Linked DNA regions of Pelodiscus sinensis. The protein of the gene in region 1 interacts with the protein of each later gene in a pairwise test. Links are inferred from orthologs where the notes say so. Each region holds a gene or a part of one and is shown on either strand. Other genes may lie near its edges.

Evidence for each region. The genes of interacting proteins can lie anywhere in the genome.
Region 2: the proteins of AKAP9 (region 1) and PKN1 interact in a two-hybrid assay, tested with the Homo sapiens proteins (2 studies listed by BioGRID). The link is inferred for Pelodiscus sinensis from reciprocal best matches to the Homo sapiens genes AKAP9 and PKN1.

The regions. Positions count from the first base shown.
Region 1 is NC_134712.1:214,228,839-214,232,779, reverse strand, and holds the start of AKAP9 (A-kinase anchor protein 9), read left to right. Parts: upstream 1-988; 5' UTR 989-1,164; coding exon 1,165-1,212; intron 1,213-1,255; exon of another isoform or gene 1,256-3,941. UniProt on the Homo sapiens protein: Scaffolding protein that assembles several protein kinases and phosphatases on the centrosome and Golgi apparatus. Required to maintain the integrity of the Golgi apparatus. Required for microtubule nucleation at the cis-side of the Golgi apparatus.
Region 2 is NC_134729.1:10,472,202-10,475,801, forward strand, and holds the start of PKN1 (serine/threonine-protein kinase N1), read left to right. Parts: upstream 1-1,111; 5' UTR 1,112-1,228; coding exon 1,229-1,267; intron 1,268-2,774; coding exon 2,775-3,072; intron 3,073-3,600. UniProt on the Homo sapiens protein: PKC-related serine/threonine-protein kinase involved in various processes such as regulation of the intermediate filaments of the actin cytoskeleton, cell migration, tumor cell invasion and transcription regulation.

The DNA.
Region 1 (3,941 bases):
GTGTTTCCCTTCCCCCTCCCTCAGCCAAAAGCAACCGGTCCCCCACCCCGTGGTCAGCACCACCCCATGCTGAGCCTGGTCTCCAAACCAAGAGCCAGCCCGGCTCACACAGGCTGCCTCCTTTCTGCCCCCAGGCCAGCTGAGGCTCACACAACTGGGAAGCCAACTGTGGCAGAGGGAGTCAGGGCTGCCTACTCCCAGAGAGAGGGGGTTGGTGAGCATAGGAGCCAACAGAACAGCCCCCTAGTGATTCTTTACCAAACAAAACCTATTAAAACGGCTGATGCATGAAATATACATGATATGAACAGCAGACATGGAGCCTACTCTTACAAATATAGGCATCACCTTTGCATGGTACATAATGCACAAATACCTTGCCGACTTGATTGTTAGGATTTCCGGGACAAACACCGCACATGGCATATAGAAGGCGGGCGGGGGGGATAGACAATTTGCAATGTAACATGTTCCCATCATTGAATCAACTTCAGGAATAGGTAACAAGGAAACGTTCCTCTTTTTAAAGGTAACATTTGGAAAAACAATATTGCAAAAATAAATACTGTAGCAGCATTCAGTTTGCAAACACTTAGTCCGAATAAAAAATGTACTTTACATTTTTAAAATGACAATAGGCATCCCCCAGCGCCAGTGTGTTGGGGGAAGGGCAGTGTGTCATAGGGAGCGGGTTCGCATTCCTCTCCCAGGCGAGTGAGTGGGGAGGGGAAGGTGTCCGTGTCTCTTAGAGGAGAGGGGGGAGATCGGCCCCCGTCAGTGGGCGCGAGGGTCGGGGTCCCGGCCTGTCAGTGCCTGGGGAGGGGGCAGGCGTCTCGGGGGTGGATGCCTGCAGATGGGGGGCGGGGCATGGGGGGTCCCTGGGAGGGCAGGAGTCTCGAAGGGGGCGGTCAGGAGCGTCACGCCCCCCTGTCCTGCCACGGCTCCCGTTATCAGGGCGGCCCGAAGGGGGGCGGGGCTCTCGGCCGCACCTGCCAGGAGCAGCGGGGCTGGGCGGGGAGGCGGCGGCGGCGACGCGGACGTCACTTTCCCCGGCCGCGCGTGGTTACGTGGAGCTGAAGATGGCGGCGCCGGTGGGTCCGCCACGGAGGCTCCTGGCGCTGTAGCGGGGCGGGCCGGTGACGCTCTGTTCTCTGCGCAGGGGCCATGGAGGACGAGGAGCGGCGGAAGAAACTGGAGGCCGGGAAAGCCAAGGTAGGCGCGGGGGCTGTGGCGGCCGGGGGAGGGAGAGGGGCGCGGTGGGGAGTAGGGGCGCTGAGGGGCGGGACGGAGCTGTGGGGGAGGGGAGGGGCCCCTGGGCGAAGCCAGTCTCCCAAGTAGCCTGGAGGGAGCACACCCCGAGGAGCAGGGGTGACTCTTTCACCAGTTTTATTCCCACCTGTATCTAGTGTGTTTCCCTGCTAACGAGCGCGCGGGCAGCCTGGGGGTATTTGCGGGGGCTGGGCTATGTTTGATAGCAGTGGGCTCCAGAGCAGGTTCTCTTTTACTCTCCCTGTGTGATTGGCTTGTGACAGCTGTGAGTGGACAGCGCATGTCTTGCAAGTGCCACAAGTGCCAGCAGTTACACATTGAAAGCCAATGGTATTTCTCCCGAGTGAAACTCTGTACGTGTGTTGGTGTCGTTTGTGAATCTGTATAGCTTCAGTGGTCGGGGTGAAATACTTCTTCAGTTCCCCAAAAAGGTATTTGGGGATGAGGGAAACGAAGTTTACAACATACAGTTAACCTGATGCACAATTTGCTACTTGGGATTTTAAAGCAATGTACAAATTCATGGAAATAACTTTTTTTCATTTTAAGAACATCATGTTGTGTCTAATACTAGAAAATAACATTACAATGCAGTGTGTCTAATGCTTATTTCCCAAATTGTTCCCATAATCAGATGGTGGTGTAGAATGTGCAGGACTCAGGGCAGAGCCTTGGGGATGTGGCGGGAGGTCGTGCAGGAAGGAGTGAGAGAAGGCAATGCAAGAGTGAGGGTTGGGGGTTCAAGAGAGGCTTAGGGCAGGATGGGGCCTCTTATCTTTCACCCTTTCATCACCTCTGGATGCCCATCCCCTTGCCGGGCGGGGGAAGTATCTTTTCTCTGCCTCTCCTTTCTTCTCCCTTTGATTGTTTCCTGTGGCTTTGTTTAGTTCTGTCCTTTCCTTGACTTCACTTGAAGGGTTAATGTAACCTACACCACCTTCTAGTCCTCTATGGGTGAAAACTAAAGGAGCCCTTCTGTAGGTGCTTACTTAAAGACTTGATATCTTACATCCCTTAAACATTCCTCTGAATTTTACATGCTGTAGCTATATAAATAGTTGTAAACTAAGTGCTGAGGTGTGTTAGAGGATTTTTAGTTGCTTTTCTTGTTACTTATGACTGTCTTCAGACATGAAGGTTGCAGTGTAATTGTATAGTAACCTTTTTGCTATATATTTGCTCATCAGCCTTCAGTACTGTAGGTGAATTACACTGTTTAAATGCTCTGAACACACAACTACTTTAAGTGATAAATGTCTAAAGTTTCATAGATGCTTCTGTGAGTGTGAAGTTCTGTAAAACTCTTTATCTTACAATAATGAAACTACCTCTCAGAACTGGCTTACACTGGGCATTTAGGTCGAATTTAGCTGCATAAGGCTGATTTTTTTTTAAACAGTGAGTTCATACTACCAAGCCCATTCCATCAACTTTAAGGGATGCTAAAGTCTATTTTGATACTCCTGCTTTTCATGAGGAATAACGCTAAATTCAACCTTGCACGATCAACTTTACGGTACAGTAGACACAGAGTTGCAAAAATCAATGTTCTTGGCTTCTGGTAGACATCCCACAGTGCCTCACTGTGACCACACTGGCCAGAACTTGTGGCTAGACTGCTTTCCAGGTGAACAGGAGAATCCCCAGGAAACTTTGAATTTATTTCCTGTGTGGACAGCATGGCGAGCACATCTCAGAGCAGGCAGTATACCTGGCCATGACTTCCATGAGTTCTAGTTCCAGGAGCTCCTATTCCCAGGGGCTCAGACGAGCACCAGCATGAAGTGTGAAGGAGATCTTGGACCTCATCAGCATGTAGGAAGAGGAATCTGTTCTCATGAAGCTGTAAACCAGTAAACGAAATGCAGATATATATGTGAGGATCACAAAGTCCAATGAGGAGAAAGTATACACCAGGGATGCCCAGCAGTGTCGTGTGAAAATAAAGGAGTTGAAGCAATCCTACCAAAAAGACAAAGGAGGCAAATGGATAGTCTGGAGCATTGCTGTAAACATGCCACTTCTACAAGCTGTTGCATTTGATCATAAGTCTAGCTTCCCAAGCCAGACTGTGGAATCCTCCCAAGACACTAATCAGGGTGGCATTGTGGAGGAGGAGGGTCAGCAGGCAAGTGGCAATAGCCAAGAACTTTTTATAACCTTGGAGACAATCCCTTCCTCTCATGGTGCCTCAGTTGGGTACTGATCCCAGGAAAGGCACTTCTGGTGAGTTCACAATTTTTTCCTTCCTACAAGTAGATTCATGCAGTTGAGTGTGATGTGTAGGCATAGAGTGCGCCACGCAATGCAAGAGCCTGGAACAGAGCCCGGAACAGCTTGTTAATGTGTCTTGGAGACAGCACAATGGAATCCTCCTTGCAAATCTCCATGAAACTCTCATAGAAGTACTCTTTGATCCTTCTCACAAGGTTTCTGGGGAGGCCTGCCTTATTCAATACTACACGGTGGGCACCTTTACACACCAAGCCAGCAGTAAATTGTCTGGCATTGCCAGCACAAAGAGTGGGGAAATATGTTACTGGAGGAGATGCGAGTGGAGTGTCAGGAAAGGAGAGCATGCAGGGAACTATAACTGAAGCACCAGAAGACTGCTTGTCCTCCCTGACATCTGTAATGGACTGCATCTAGGCTTTCCAAGATGCGTACATGGA
Region 2 (3,600 bases), on another chromosome or scaffold:
AGGGGTGGGGTGGGCAGCTCAAGAGGGGTTCCCCAGAGGGACACCAGGGGGCGCTGTGCTGCAGGGGTGGGGTGGGCAGCTCAAGAGGGGTTCCCCAGAGGGACACCAGGGGGTGCTGTGCTGCAGGGGGGGTTGGGCAGCTCAAGGGGGGTTCCCAGAGGGACCCCAGGGGGCGCTGTGCTGCAGGGGTGTGTTGGGCAGCTCAAGGGGGGTTCCCCAGAGGGACACCAGGGGGCGCTGTGCTGCAGGGGTGTGTTGGGCAGCTCAAGGGGGGTTCCCCAGAGGGACACCAGGGGGCGCTGTGCTGCTGGGAGTGGTGGGAGGGGCTCAGGTCACCCAGCGGCTCTGGGAATGGAACCCGGGTGTCCTGCCTTCCAGCTCAGTGCCCATTGCTGAGCCCGCCCCTTGTTTACTGGGGCCTGTCAGAAGCTCCGGGGTGGGGACTGGGCAGCACGTTACCCAATCTGACCCCTCCCCACACTCAGCACCCCCCAGAACTCTGGTAGCAGGAGGGAGCAGGGTGGTCGCACAGGGGAGGATGCTGCCCCTCCCACACCGTGCGGGCGCCGGCCCTGCTCCGGGTCAATGGCAGGAGAAAGCTGCCTGCCCCGGGGCAGCTCAGGGCTGGTGAGTCTCGAGTACTGAGTTGATCAGGGTGAAGAGAGAGTGCCCCCCACCAGCCTCTGGGGATCCCTCACCTGGTGCTGAGATGCAGCCACCTCTGGGGTGGGGCGCAGGGGCTGTTCAGCAGACATCCATGTATGAACGTCCCAGTTTTGGGGCCTGGAGGCTCTGCCCTGGGGTGTTTTTAGGGGGAGCTTGGCCCCTGTCAGGGGGCCCAGTGTGCAGCATTTGGGGGCAGCAGCGCCAGGGCGTGTGGTTTGGGATGACTCAAGAGATGGTCTGGGAAGCTTCTGGGGGGTGGGGGTGTATGGTCCCTGGAGATTGGAGCACAGGGGGTCTCCCTGGGGGCATGTGCGAGTCAGTCCCAAGCTCAGCCTGGCTCTGGGGGGCTCTCACTCCCGTTAACCCCTTGGGCCCAGGCCGGGCGGGGGCGGGTCCAGCAGCGCTCGGGTGGCGGGAGGCAGTGCTGTGAGGTGCAGGAAGGGGAAGTGGTTTTGTGATATGGTGGGGGGGGCTAGACTCCGAACAACAGGAGGGGGGTGTCGCCCAGCTCAGACCCAAGGACGGACGGGGCCTGGCCTGGCCTGGATCCCCCCGGGCCAGGATGTCGGAGTCAGACTCCTGCTCTGAGCAAGATCTGGAGGTACCTGGCTGGGTGGGGGCCCCACGGGGATGTGAATTGCCCCAGCCCGCTGCTCTGGCACAGTGGAGACAGGGACGGTGGCCCAGCCATGGCAAAGGGCCGGTGGGGTTGGGGGGGGACTCACAGGGAGGGCTGGTGCTGCCTGCAGAGACTGGGGGGCGCAGGGGAATCAGCTGGTCCTAGAGCTCTGCATGGCAGGGCGCTGGGCGGGCCTGAGAACCGGGGTGGGGCTGGTGCACCATGCAGGGGGCAGAGTACGTTTCCTTCCCCGCCATGGCTGCTGCTGCGCCAGCTGCCTGCAAGCTGCCGAGGGGGAGGGGCAGAGAGGAAGGGACGGTTCAACTCCCATCTAGGCCCCCCTGACATCTTCTAGCCAGCCCCCCTCCCCCGAGCCAGGGCGGCTCCCCGGGGTGACGTTAACCAAGGCGCCTCGTCCCGGGGGTGCGGGCGGTGGAAATCTGCCAGGCCTGCAAGGGGAGCCGGGAGCTCATGGGGCTCCCTGGGAACATCCTGGAGGCAGATTTCCAGCCCCCGGACTCCTCCCCAGAGATCCTGGCCCAGCCCGGAGTGTGGGGATGCTGGTGCTGTCCTCATTCAGTAGGGCCCCCGTTGGGATCACCCCGCCCCAGTGCCCCGTCATGGTGCCAGAGGCTGCTCCGAGCCCGACAGGCATCGCCCTGCTCCCATTGGGCCAGGCACTGCCAACCCGACTGGGATTCCCCCTCCTCCTCCCTGGGGAAGAGACCCGGGTTGGTCTCCCAGTTCCCGGATGGGGGAGCCGAGGCCCAGGGCTGCTGTGGCTGGATCTCGTGCCCGCTGGGCTCTAGGATGAGTGGCCAAGCATGCCCCAGCTGGGGCACTTCGGGGCTGAGCGCTGGGAGTGCAGCCTGTCTGTAGAGGAGCCAGTCAGCCCCAAGCTCCCTGCCCTCCGTGAGCTCGGCAGCCCATGAGGGTCTGACCAGGGACAGATGCACCCAGATCAGCCCCGAACTACCAGCCCTGCCTGCTGGGCACAGAGGGCCAGCCCCTTGCGCCCTTCCGGTGTGCCAGCTGCATTCCCTTGATGTGGTGGCTGCATCACGTTCGCTCCTCCGGCTGAGCCCTGTCCGGGAACCCCTAGCCCCTTTCCCAGCCAGGGCAGGGGGCTAGGATGGGGGAGTCCATCCGCATGGGGGGAAGTGAGGGGTCAGTGCGCCAGCAGAGGCATGGTTCAGGAGAGGCAGGTGGGGGGCCAGGGAAGGAGCTGTAGGGGCAGTTGTAAAGGTGGCTGTCAAGGGGCTGTTGGGGGGCAGCTATAGAGGGGGGTGGCAGAGAGGGACTATTGGGGAGCACCAAGGGGGCTGGCAGGAGGCCTCTGAGGATGTGGGTGGCAGGGAGGAGGCCAGCAGGGGGTAGCCGAGGAGGAGGGCACGAGGGGGCAGCTGAGGAGGAGGCCGGAGGGGGGCAGCGGAGGAGGCGGGCAGGGCTGGGCGCTGCAGGGCCCCCTCACCTGCTCTCTCCCCTGCAGGGCGAGCAGGTCTGGTCGGTGCTGGAGCAGCTGGCCTTGGAGCCCAGCCCCGACCTGGCGGCCAGCAGCGTGCAGCAGCGGCTGGACGAGGAGAAGGAGCGGATCCGGCGCGAGATCCGCAAGGAGCTGAAGATTAAGGAGGGGGCGGAGAACCTGCGCCGGGCCACCACCGACCGTCGCAACCTGGCCAGCGTGGAGAGCCTGCTGCGCGGCTCCGACCGCAAACTGCACCAGCTGCACTGCCAGCTGCAGCACCTGGACGCCCACATCATGGTCAAGGAGCCGGAGGAGAGTGGAGGTCAGGGGGCGGGAGACGGGGGGCGGTGCTGGGCGGGCAGGGAGCAGGGTTCACTGCTGGCGGACCCCAGCGGGGTCACACGGGGCAAGGAGGGGGGTCCATGCCAGTGGACCCAGCCCGGCGGCTCAGGGCTCCGTGCGCTAGGGGGTCTTGAGATGCTGCTAGCTCAGGGCTGTCCGTCCTGGAGGACAGAGGTGCCTGGGGCTGGGACAGACAGACTCCCAGAGGGGTGCCTGGGGCGGGGCACTGCTCTTCCTCCTGTGCTGCAATGCAAGAAGCAGAAAGGGAGCCACAAGGCAGCAGGTGCTAAATAGCACCCAGACGAGTCTCCATCAGCCCTGGCAGCAGTAACCAGCGGAACTCCTCGCCACTAGGTCTTGGTGAGGCCAAGAGTTAGGCAGAATTCAAACAGGCGGCGGGTGGGGGAAGGGGGGTTGTCTGGGGTCTGGGGTGGGAAAGGAGGCTCTGAACACCCACAGAGTGGGCAAGGAGCCCCCACTCTGGGTTCTGGGGTCAGAGTGTCAGTGC